Mus musculus: one gene and its partners. The protein of the gene in region 3 purifies or fractionates together with the protein of the main gene of each other region. This does not show direct contact. Links are inferred from orthologs where the notes say so. Each region holds a gene or a part of one and is shown on either strand. Other genes may lie near its edges. The genes, in order: Tmed2, Canx and Emc1.

Region 1 (4,180 bases), on a different chromosome or scaffold from region 3:
GAATCAGAAATTAGATATCAGTAAACAAAAGGATGCTAAACCAAAAAAAAAACAGGATGCTGTCACACAAAAGCACCACATACCATCCCAGGAGTCTCCACCACCTAGAGAAAAATGTAAGGTGTAGACAAAAGAAGGAGTTTAGCTAAGCTAGCATGTCTGCAAACAGAAACAGAGGTACACGTGGACCCCAGGATCAGCCAGGTAACAGAACCCAGGGCCATGGAGTCTGGGGATTTACATGAGCAGAGTGACTCATGGCTGCCAGAAGGCACAACCAAAATCACTGACAATAGACAGTAACATCCACTTCAACAGGAATTTTGTTTTTAAGACATGAATCTGGAGAGAAAGTCACACACACAGTACTAAGATGGATGAGTGAACTGAACTGAGATGAGCTCTGAGTCCAAAGAGACACCTCACCTTCTGTCTCCATGTCTTGTCCTTTGGGAGCCTCCCCAATGTCAATGGTGAACATTACTATCTTTGGAGTCATAGTGGACATCCTATTGCTAAAGCAGAACTTGTATGTCCCATCCATGTGGGCTGCAAATGTGTACTTCCCGCTGGACTCCCGGTCTCCTTTATAGATTCCTTTATTATCTGGTCCTGTGATCTGGAGGCAGGAGAGAAACAGAAAACTCACTAAACATTTAGGATCTTTAGCAGCATCCTCACAGGAAAAATATCCAATAGGCTGGAACTTGAGTAGGTCCCCCTACAGGGAGCCAGTGTACACTTTGGGCACTAACTCTCCCACTTAAATCAAACTAGCACAGAGTCAACAGTTCCCTAAAACACCTCTTCACTCTTTATCCTTTAGGTATTACCTGTCCAAGCGAAATGTAAACCTCTCAGAAAGAGAAGCAGGACAACTCTCCACATGGCCTCCAACTGTCTAACTTCAACAAAAACTGGCAAGGCTGAAATCACAACCTAGGAACAAAGTTTTCCTAAATGAGTAATTTTATTTATTTTTGATTTGAGATAGGGTCTCATTACTGGTCCAAACTGGGTTCAGATTCAGAGATCCAGCGACCTGTCTTGAATGCGGGATTAAAAGTGTGCCCAAGGCCATTGATTCTCCTGCAGGAGACCAAAGCCCTTCTCAGGCCCCATCCCAGTAGCCACTCGCCACTGTCATGTGTGCTGCACACAGTGGGTGCCGCCATGTCCTTCCTTAGGAACACCCTAGAGGAAACCACCAGCTGTTTCTTGTTCCCAGGGCTGGTGGGTGGTTTTGGATTTGTGTTGACTGTTGATACTTATTTAACATATAATTTATCAGTTGTACCAAAAAAAAAAAAAAAAAAAGTTGGTGTGCTCCTATTTCACCCTACCAAAATGAGTAATTTTATAAAAGCACCTTTAAGGTTTTTGTGGTCACTTCGAACAACAAAGGGCTGTAACTTATCTGACATGCTAAGGCTTAGGGAAGTGCACTAGATTGGAAATTAGAAAACCCGAATTCTCAAGCAGGAACAATACAAATCAGCTGCCAGGCACCATCAAACCTTCCCCCTTTAAGGCTGTGCATGAAAATGTACGGAGGTGCCAAAGGGGCACCCAATGTCTGGAGTCAACGCTTGTATTGAACAAAGAGCGGCATGTACCCCTAACTGCTGAGCCATCTCTCTAGCCCGAGCCCTGCTTCTTTGAGAGCCAGTCCACCTGCAAAACTTGAGAAACTGGAAGTACTCATCTTTTATCTAAGGTCTTGGCTAATCCATGCGGTCTCCAAACTTTTTTGGAGTGCCACTACTTGTATTCCCTCTTTACACCCAGTCAGGAATACTAGCAAGCAAATTAAAACTACTGTATATGGTCTTTTTTTTTTTTTTTTTTTTTGAATGCAGCAAACTGTAGGGACCGGCGGTACACGCCCTTCATCCTATCCCTCCTAAAGTGAGTTCGATACCCAAGAACTACAAAAGGCAATCCTGTCTCAAACAACTCGGCCGATCATTTTTATTCTCCAGACAAGTAACTTTTCTAAAACACTTAGCTGAAAGCCTCTCCTAAAACTAAATGACCTCAGTGCATCCCTCGCGGGTCACATCTGGCGCTTGCGTAAGGATGCGGCTAGGAAGTTAAGCTGGTTTCTGCCAAAGCCACTTTCTCCGCCTTAGTGCTACTCCGCCAACTTCCGACCTACTCGGCAAAGTTTGTTTCCGCGCCACGCCGCCCCGTGCGAGCCCTGGAGGGACCGAGGAGAACCACGCCGAGTCGCTCCCTCCCGGGCTGAGTGACACGCGGCCGCCGCGGGACAAAGCCAAGGGGGAAAGGCCGAGTCCGCGCCCGAGTCCCGAGCCTGGCCCGAAGGCGCTCGGAGAGACGAGCGCTTTCCGAGACGCGCGGGCAGGGCCCGTCGGAGGGCTGCGCGACGGGCGGTGGCGGCGACGGCAACGAGGCCCCTCCCCGGCCCGCGCCCTTGTCGAGCGCTGTCCCGCGCGGGGCCACCCCGCGCTCTACCCCGGGACCCGCCAACCCCCCGAGAGGGACTCGCGACGGCGCCCCGACGGCGAGCGGGCGCCGGGCCCGCGCACCTCCACGTCGATGTCCAGGAAGCCGCCCTCCGCCACCTCGAAGATGAGGCCCATCTTGGTGCCGGAGGTGACCCGCTCGAAGAAGCACTCCTCGGCGTGCGCGTCGATGCTGACAAAGTAGCCCGAGGCCGTGGCCAGCAGCGCGGCCAGCAGCGCCAGCAGCTCGGCGAGCGTCACCATGGTGCGGGACGGGCCGACGCCGGGACGCGGACTGCGGCCTCCGGAGCCGCCGCCACCGCTGCCGCCTCAGCCGCCCGCCGCCTCAGCTCCGCCCCTTCCGGCGGCGCCTCCCAAGGGGGCTGATGCGGGCGCCGCTCATTGGCCGGGGCCGACGGCTGCCACGTAACGGACGCACGGCGGCCGCGGAGGGACAAGGCGGATGCTGAGGTTGGACAGTGGCCCTGAGGAGCCAAAAAAACAATCCCTCCACTCAAGCCCTTCGACGTGGGCCAATGATCACGTGGACTAGGAGCGGCGAAAAGGCGCTGCACCGACAGAACCTGCTAGTTGCTTTTGCAGAGGATCCGAGTTCGAGTCCCAGAGTTCGCACGATGACCCACAACCGTCTGTACCCAGTTTCAAGGGATCTAATGCCCCCTCTGCTGACCACCGCGGGCACCGCACACACATGCTGTCCAGATACTCAAACATAAAATTTAAAACATAATAGCAATAAATAAAGATCGCATGGACTTATTCAGAAAGTGATAGTATACAGGGTTTCACAGTTTTAGGATTATCCGAGTAGATAAAGACATTCAGTGAGTCTCAAAACTGGGGTCTCTGAGAGGTGGATGATAAAGATGAGAAATCCAATTTTTTTGTTGTTTCTTTGGTTTGCTCCCCCATCACCTTGCTTATTTAAGCTGGCAGGGGTGGAGAACACTCAAAACCATCCCACAGAGAATCTCTGAGGATGCTGAAAGTCAATTACCTCTGGCTACATGCTCACTGCTAACACTCACCCCCACCCAGGAACACGTAGTTAAAGGAATAAAAATAAATCTTTTTTTTTTTAAATCTATGCGAAGCAGTGAGTTCAAGTCCTCCTTGGTCCCTATATAGAAAAGTTCCAGTGCAGCCAGGGTGACACAGCAACAGCAGCGAAAGGAAGGAAGGAAAGAAGGAAGGAAGGAAGGAAGGAAGGAAGAAAGGAAGGAAGTCTATGCATATGATATTGTAAAATTTCACCTTGTTCAGAAAGCTGGGCATGGTGCTATAGGCCTTTTTTTTTTTTTTTAATTTATTTATTTATTTATTATATGTAAGTACACTGTAGCTGTCTTCCGACAGTCCAGAAGAGGAAGCCAGATCTCATTACGGGTGGTTGTGAGCCACCATGTGGTTGCTGGGATTTGAACTCCGGACCTTCGGAAGAGCAGTCGGGTGCTCTTACCCGCTGAGCCATCTCACCAGCCCCGCTATAGGCCTTTAATCCCAGCATTTGGCAGGTAAGTTCGAGGCCAGTCTGGTTTACAAAGCAAGTCCAGGGCAGTGAATGCTATATTACACAGAGAAACACTGTCTCTAAAATACAATACAATACAATACAATACAATACAATACAATACAATGTTCACTTTGTTCTGCATATAATCCTCCCAGTATTATATAATGCATCTAATCCTCAC
Region 2 (3,719 bases), on a different chromosome or scaffold from region 3:
ATTTGGGTACAAAGAGCCCCTGTAAAACACGGCCCAGTATTTACAGAACTACCACTAAAGAAAATCTCAGTGGATACAATTATTTAGTTAGACATTCCTACCTTTCCAGAACAGCAGAAGAGGATCACAAGGAACACTGGCAAAGCTACAGTCAAAATGTAGACCACCCAAAGCCATGGACGCTCTTCAGCTGCCTCCAGCATCTGCAGCACTACACCTGGCTGAAATACCAAACAACAGTAATTCAGAGAACTGGTTTATGACACCAAATACAGACTCGACTGATTGCTTCATATTCATACAACTAACTCCTTTATTTCCAAAGGAGTCAAACTATGCACATTAAGAAATTAGGAAAAGCCGAGCAGTGGTGGGTGACGCACACCTTTAAACCCAGCACTTAGGAGACAGGCGGATTTCTGAGTTCAAGGCCAGCCTGGTCTACAGAGTGAATTCCAGGACAGCTAGGGAGACACAGAGGAACCTTGTCTCGAAAAACCAAGTTAAAAGAAAACAAAACAAAAAATAGAAATTAGGGGGAAAAAAAAATCCCCCGCTTTACTGCTTTTATCATCATGAAGTTTCACCTGCATAGGTGCAAACTGTGGCTTGTAATAACTGCAAAAAGTTCCTTACTCAGGAAACAGAAGAATTATCTTTCTGCCAGTTTTCTGGCCATCCAAATCGCAACTCAACAACACCATTAGTTATTTGAAAATTCCACACAATTCCAACCAAGATTCAGCATTTTCAGTGCATTAAAACATACTTAAGCCAGGTGCAATAACACATAACTTTAATTGAAACACTGGAGGCAGAGGCAGGTAGGTCCCTGTGAGTTTGAGCCCTCCCAGTCTACAGAGCAAGTTCTAAGACAGCTAGGGCTACACAGAAAAACTGTCTTGAAGACAAAATAAAATAAAATAAAATGATAAACAGATACAAATATACACATACATATAACAGGATTGGAAAGCCAGAATAGGAGTCTAACAATTATATATTTTGACACTGAATAAGTAAAAAGATAAACACTAAAAATCTGCTTTTTATAAAGTAATCAGTCTCCCCCAAAAGTGGATATAAATCCACAATTAATGAACAATCACTAACCTCAGCAGCCCCATCAGCAGCTTTCTTCAGGCCCCACCCATCATTGGCCCAATCATCAACTACTCTTCGGTCACCACTAATGATAAAGTTGTCAAAAAAGATGTCGGATGTCATGGACCAGAGCTCCAAACCAATAGCACTGAAAGGAGTCATCTTAAAAGGTTCTAGGTCTTCAAAGAAATCTGGATTTGGTATTTTCCTTGGTTTCCAGATTCCCTAGTTTGTGATTTGGAGAGGGGAGTAGGTTGGGGGTGAGGCAGAGACAAAAGAAGTTTCAAAACATCATTTCAGATAATAACAAAAAAAGAAAATCTATGTAAGACTCATTTTATATGATCAAAGAAGATAAACATTAACTGCCAAATTTAAACAAGCACAGAACAATAAATGCTAGTAATGTTTTTATACTGAATTCTTGACTTCTACCAAATTCAGTCTCCAATCTGCAGGATCTTATTCTGAACCAACACCTGGTCCTGCGTAGCTCACTCCACCCTCAACAAGTGATGGTGGAATGTAGTCAGTAAAGCCATTTCCCATTCCCCAGAAGTGATTTTAAAAAATGGGCTAGGGATGTAGGCCAGAAACACAGCACTTACACCTAATATGCATGAGACACTGGATTCAGTCTCAATACTAATCCTCAACAAAACACAATTGGTGGTGGCCAACCGAATAGCTAAATGTTTGGTTTGGTTTGGCTTGGTTCAACAGGGATTCATACACCCAGGATAGCCTTAACCTATCCCTGATCTTCTTAGTTATAGCTGAAGTTGACATTTCAACTCCTGGTCCTCATGCAGATAACCAAGTGCTAGAATGACAAGCATGTAACAAAGACATATTCAGATAGTCAAATGGCAAGCTAAAGTATAATTTTTGTTTGATCAGTTATCTAAATGGACAACTAAAAACATTTTACAACAGAAAAGCAAACAAAATATATACATATAGATAGATGCACCATACATCTAAAAGTGTAAGCGAAAATTTATGACTATAGTTTTTTGGTTTAGAAACTGAAGCCAGGAAGGATCTACATTGGTACCTTCCCAGAACACAAGTGGAGCTTCATAGCTTCACTATACATATTACTACCGCTTCATATGTACCTACCTATCTTTGGCAGAAAACTGATGAGACCAAGCAATTAGCTGACTTGGCAAGATCCAATTCCCATCACAGTTCCCTTATAGCCAATCTATGCACTCAACAATAGGGTATCCACACCCTAAGTTCTTCTACCCTACTTTTATTTTTAGATATAGCTCACTATGATGGTTTGAAGAGAAATGGGCTCCATAGACTCATGTGTTTCAATGCTTGGACCATGGGGAGTCACACTATTAGGTGTGGCCTTATTGGAGGAAGTATGTCACTGTTGGGGCAGGCTTTGAGTTCTTGTATGCTCAAACTCTGCCCAATATGGCAGAGTCCCCTTCTGCTGCCTGCAGGCTGCCATGCTTCCCAATATAATGACAATGGAATCAACCTCTAAAACTGTAAGCCAGCCTTAATTACTTTCCTTTCTAAGAGTTGTCTTAGTCATGGTGTTTCTCTTCATAGCAATGGAAACCCAAACTAAGATAGTCACATAGCAAGTTCGAACACTCCTCTTTCCTGTTTTTTAGGTTTTATGTTTAGCCCAATATTCACCTGTCTCTTAAGTTTACTTTCTCTTTTTGATTTGCTGGCCTTACTATTGATCAAGCTTTTGCCCAGACACGAACAAATTAATAAAAACACTTAAACCATCAGGAGACACAAACCTGGTAGTTAGGGTTGTCAATCATTGGAGGCTTCCATTTGCCCTTATAATTGGGGTTGTCAATCATAGGTCGCTGCCAGACACCACACCCAGGGGCTGACTCACACTTGGGGTTGGCAATCTGAGGAGCCTCCCATTCTCCGTCCATATCCTCATCCCTGTGGAGGTATAAACAAACAACTAGTCTTATGCTCTCAACATGTTTCTGGAGCTATACCAGCAGCATATGACAGAACGATATCTCATTTCTCATTTCCACTATCAATGCACTCTCATAAACTACCTACTTTGTTTTTACCCAATGAAATTTAGTAAAGTTTGTAAGGTTTTTCACTCAAACTTGGGCAGTTGGCTTTTTATTTTTCCCTTTAGGTTTTCAGACAGGGTTTCTCTGGTAGCCCTGGCTGTCCTAGAACTCAGTGATCCACCCGCCTCTGAGTGCTGAGATGAAGGCATGTACTACTATACCCAGCTTTTTTTTTTCCCCTTTTGCTTCTTTTTTGTTGTTGTTGTTGTTGGGGGAGAGGGGCACATAGCTATTGCTTTGATTGATTGATTGATTGATTGATTGATTGATTGATTTTGGTTTGCCCAAGACAGAATTTCTCTGTGTAACAGCTTTGGCTGTCCCAGAACTCACTTTGTAGACCAGGTTGGCCTCAATCTCAGAGATCTGCCTGCCTCTGCTGGGATTAAATGCTTGATTTTAATTGGGGCAGTTTAGCAGTTAAGAACACTGGCTTCTCTTCCAAATCCAAGTGAGTTGACACATAGACAAACATTAAGGCAAAACACCAAAGCACATAAAAATAAATTTTTAAAACAAAAACCAGGTAAT
Region 3 (3,719 bases):
ATCTCTGCAAGTCTGAAGCCACTTGGTCTACATAGCTGGTTTTAGACTAGTCAGGGCTATTTGAGACCATGTGCTCTCAAAACCAAGTCAGCCATCTAATGCTTGTTGGGTGCAAAAGAATATCTACCAAACCCTACCTCACAATACAGCTAAAATGGATCCACAAAAATCCATTCAAATTCTAGAGGCAGAAATCATAATAGCTTTGTGATTATATCAGCTACCAGGGATAGCCTAACTGCTAACTGCGCTGGTGAAGGTGGGTCTGGTTCCTAGCCAGTTCCCCGTCACAGCTGGATGGCTCCTCCACCCAGGCCAGAAACTGGCAAAAATGAGGCCTTCCAACCCAAGAGCTTCTCATGGAATGCCCAAAACATGGGAGAAATCTCAGCTGTGAAATACGCAAAGGCAACACACTGGGCTGCAGTCGGCATGGCTGGCCTCACCTTGTCCTTCACCAGCAGCGTGCACTGGGGTGGATGGGGGAAATGGGCAGTAGTCCTCTGCACCATCAGCTTAAAGGAGGAGTCTGGCTTAACATTGGGCAGATACTGCTTCCACAGAATGGTTCCAGAGCTGCTCTCGATGCCAAAGAGCTGCAAGAAAAACAAATGCTGACTCGTGACAGGAAAAAACTGATCAATTCTATCCTCGAAAACTGGAACAGAGCAAGCCTGCTGCCTGCACCTGCACTTGCTCTCTCGGGCTCGTGTGCTCACCTTGCCTGAGGCTGTTACCGTCACCATCATTTTCTGCAGGTTGAACTCATCTCTAGCCAGTGTGTCGATGTTGATCTCATTCTTAATCTGGCTTCGGGGCTTCCGAGCATCGTAGAACATTTTCCAGAGGTGGGAAGTCCAGGCCTGGAGCAGGATGAGCTGGGACGACAGGCGTTTCAGGAACATCCCCAGCAAGCCATCTGGTGTCGGGGAGGAAGAAGGTACTCCATCAGACTAGAAACCCAGCAGGAAGGGGTGTGCTTACCCAGGAGGGGCCTCTCCCTCTCCTGAAGGACCTTCCAGTCAGTCCTACTCCAGGCAGTCTGTTCAAGATGCCAGCAGTCCCACACTCTGGTGCAGCCATGCACAATCTTCCAAAGCCTCCTTACCTGGCTCCTAGGACTTCACCTACCTAGAATCTTGTTAATAGGAGACTAAGAGGTAAGAGTCAGCCATGCAGGATGCAGCCATGCTGTGACAACCAAGGGAAGGCAGAGAAGTGTGGGCCTCGGGTGCAGCAGAAGCAGGTGTGCGCATGAACAGTGCTTCTGTCTCCCATTACTTCACTCTACTTCACTACCTGTTCCCAGCATCCCTTTCTGCAACCTATTCCTAAGGCCATCATTCCCTTGCTCTGACTCCATTGGTGAGGCATCTCCCTCAGAGACAAGTGCAGGATACCATAAGGAGGAAGGTCTCGCATAAATTGAAATCCCAGCCCTGGTGCCTTCTACTGTAAGACCCTAAGAAATGTGCTTAACCTTGTGCCTTTGGTCCCTCATCTATTAGATGGCATGAAACCCAGAGGCCCGTTATAAAGAACAGATCATATGACGTATGATCTGTTGTACTAACGTTAGTGTGGGGAAGTGCTCATTAAGGGAATAATCTTTGCTCATCTTTTTCCACCAACCACAATTCACAGAGAGACAGAGCAACAAGTCACAAGCAGAACAATCCACACATACACAGTGCCTGCAAGTCAGAAAAACAGCCAACCAAATGCTAGCCGTGTGGGCACACAAGACGTAACAGGCAGCAAAAGCAAGATTTACCTTGAATCGCTGGGTCCAGCAGCAGAAATAGACAGTAAAGTTAAGTTAATTCTCAGCTTAAGAAAATACACAACACTAGCTGTGTACCCGATCCAAAAGATGCCCTCAACAGCTGCCTACTGCACAGCTGGATGAATGGATGAAGGAAGGGCGGGGAGGCCAGGACGGGACTGGAGAGGAATGAACCAAACTCATCAGATAACCACTGATGGAGCCATTGCCAGCTCAGAGAGCATCGGGCTATCTCCAATCACACCTCTCTAGGTGTAGCTGTGGCACTGGAGACAGTGGGTGAAGATGTGTGACACGGAGCCTGACAACTAACTTTAGGTACCTAGACAATGACACCTACTATTATACTAAGCAAAGACATTTTTGCCTCAGGATCTTTCACTAGAGGGACTCAGCAAAAGTGTGGCTGCATAAGCCATGGGGCTGCTGATGCACTGGAAACTGGCCACAGGATTCCTCAGAACATCGGGCTGAGCCCAGAAGCCAGGGACACAGTAAATCCATAAACGCAGCTGACCCGCCCTGGAGCCGCCTCCCTATGTTCATACCTGCCTTCTTGCCAAATTCTCCTTCCAACTCAGCCTGCGCTCCAGTCAGGGGGAGATCCACCATCTCCAGGCACACGACTTCTGCCAGGGACTCCTCTCGGCTCCACAACACCACCTTCCCAGCTACAAGAAACCAGGTTGTAAGAGCTCAGCCTGGCTGCCTAGCCCTGAGGAGACTCTTACCTTCCCAGCTACAAGAAACCAGGTTGTAAGAGCTCAGCTAGAGGTGGCTCAGAGTTCAAGTCTTATGCAAAAGATCTCATGAGGCTGAGGTCAGCAGTCAAGTGAGGAAGCTTCTCTATCTCGAGGAACTGGGTAAATTGGCATGGTACACTCTGCTTGAATCTTTCCCAAGCCTATGCACACACACACACACACACACATCCATACACACACACACACACACACACACACACACACACACACACACACACACACACACACACACACACACACACACCTCCCGCAATGACTGGACTTTAAAGCAGACACAAACATGGCTGCATGAGGCACTTACCAAGCTGCTGCAGGAACAGCTGCAGATGGTCCTGTGTCTGCACCAAGGCCCGGTAGCCCACCGAGTCGTCCTTCTTCAAGAACACCTGGATGTACAGCTAGAAGCCAACAGTAAGATGCCAAGTGGCACCAAGGTACTGGACCCCAAGATTAGAAGGATTGGGAGTCGGCTGAGATCCAGGCCATGATGTCTACACAATACAGTAATTATCTGAGCATTGGCAAGAAAGCACAAACTCTTTAAAGCCAGCAATGAGGTGAGGCTCTCGCTGATGTGTCTATGAAGGGCAGCAAGTATTTGAGGGGCTATCATACCTCCATGCCCCAGTTGGACCCAACAAGGTGAGCAGAAGGCCAGGCCAGGACTTCCCATTTTAGGACTAAAGAGGCCCCATCCCAGGAGCTGAGGGATACAATTCAATGTCCCAGAAGAAGACTGGGTAAGAGTATTAGTACATCTAGGGAGTCCGTCTGGAGTGTGAACCCCAGCAACACGTCTTACTAGGGAGTCCGTCTGGAGTGTGAACCCCAGCAACACGTCTTACTAGGGAGCCCATCTGGAGTGTGAACCCCAGCAACAAGTCTTACTAGCTCCATGGCTCAAAATGCCCTGGGCAATGGCACATTCACAAGCCAGGTCAGTAACAACCAATCCACAAGACTGCCAAGATGCCCTACGGATTAACACATAAACAACAGCTAAGTGCAAGGCCTCACACACAGCAACAGCAGTGGGCTGGAGAGTCAGAGCATGTATTACTATTGTAGAGGACCCAGGTTAAATTCCTATTACCACAGGGCAGCTCACAACTGTCTGTAACTCCAGCTCCAGGGGATCCAATGTTCTATGTGCCCATGTGGTACACATA

The links.
Region 1: the proteins of Emc1 (region 3) and Tmed2 purify together in Homo sapiens (affinity purification with mass spectrometry; 3 studies listed by BioGRID and IntAct, with this or other methods). This does not show direct contact. The link is inferred for Mus musculus from reciprocal best matches to the Homo sapiens genes EMC1 and TMED2.
Region 2: the proteins of Emc1 (region 3) and Canx purify together in Homo sapiens (affinity purification with mass spectrometry; 4 studies listed by BioGRID and IntAct, with this or other methods). This does not show direct contact. The link is inferred for Mus musculus from reciprocal best matches to the Homo sapiens genes EMC1 and CANX.

Annotation. Positions count from the first base shown.
Region 1 is NC_000071.6:124,539,411-124,543,590, reverse strand, and holds the start of Tmed2 (transmembrane emp24 domain-containing protein 2 precursor), read right to left. Parts: upstream 2,801-4,180; 5' UTR 2,730-2,800; coding exon 2,550-2,729; intron 620-2,549; coding exon 427-619; intron 1-426. UniProt on the Homo sapiens protein: Involved in vesicular protein trafficking. Mainly functions in the early secretory pathway but also in post-Golgi membranes.
Region 2 is NC_000077.6:50,298,016-50,301,734, forward strand, and holds part of Canx (calnexin precursor), read right to left. Parts: intron 3,040-3,719; coding exon 2,883-3,039; intron 1,330-2,882; coding exon 1,114-1,329; intron 222-1,113; coding exon 102-221; intron 1-101. UniProt on the Homo sapiens protein: Calcium-binding protein that interacts with newly synthesized monoglucosylated glycoproteins in the endoplasmic reticulum. It may act in assisting protein assembly and/or in the retention within the ER of unassembled protein subunits.
Region 3 is NC_000070.6:139,362,395-139,366,113, reverse strand, and holds part of Emc1 (ER membrane protein complex subunit 1 isoform 1 precursor), read right to left. Parts: intron 2,949-3,719; coding exon 2,852-2,948; intron 2,458-2,851; coding exon 2,335-2,457; intron 1,784-2,334; coding exon 1,775-1,783; intron 920-1,774; coding exon 720-919; intron 597-719; coding exon 447-596; intron 1-446. UniProt on the Homo sapiens protein: Part of the endoplasmic reticulum membrane protein complex (EMC) that enables the energy-independent insertion into endoplasmic reticulum membranes of newly synthesized membrane proteins.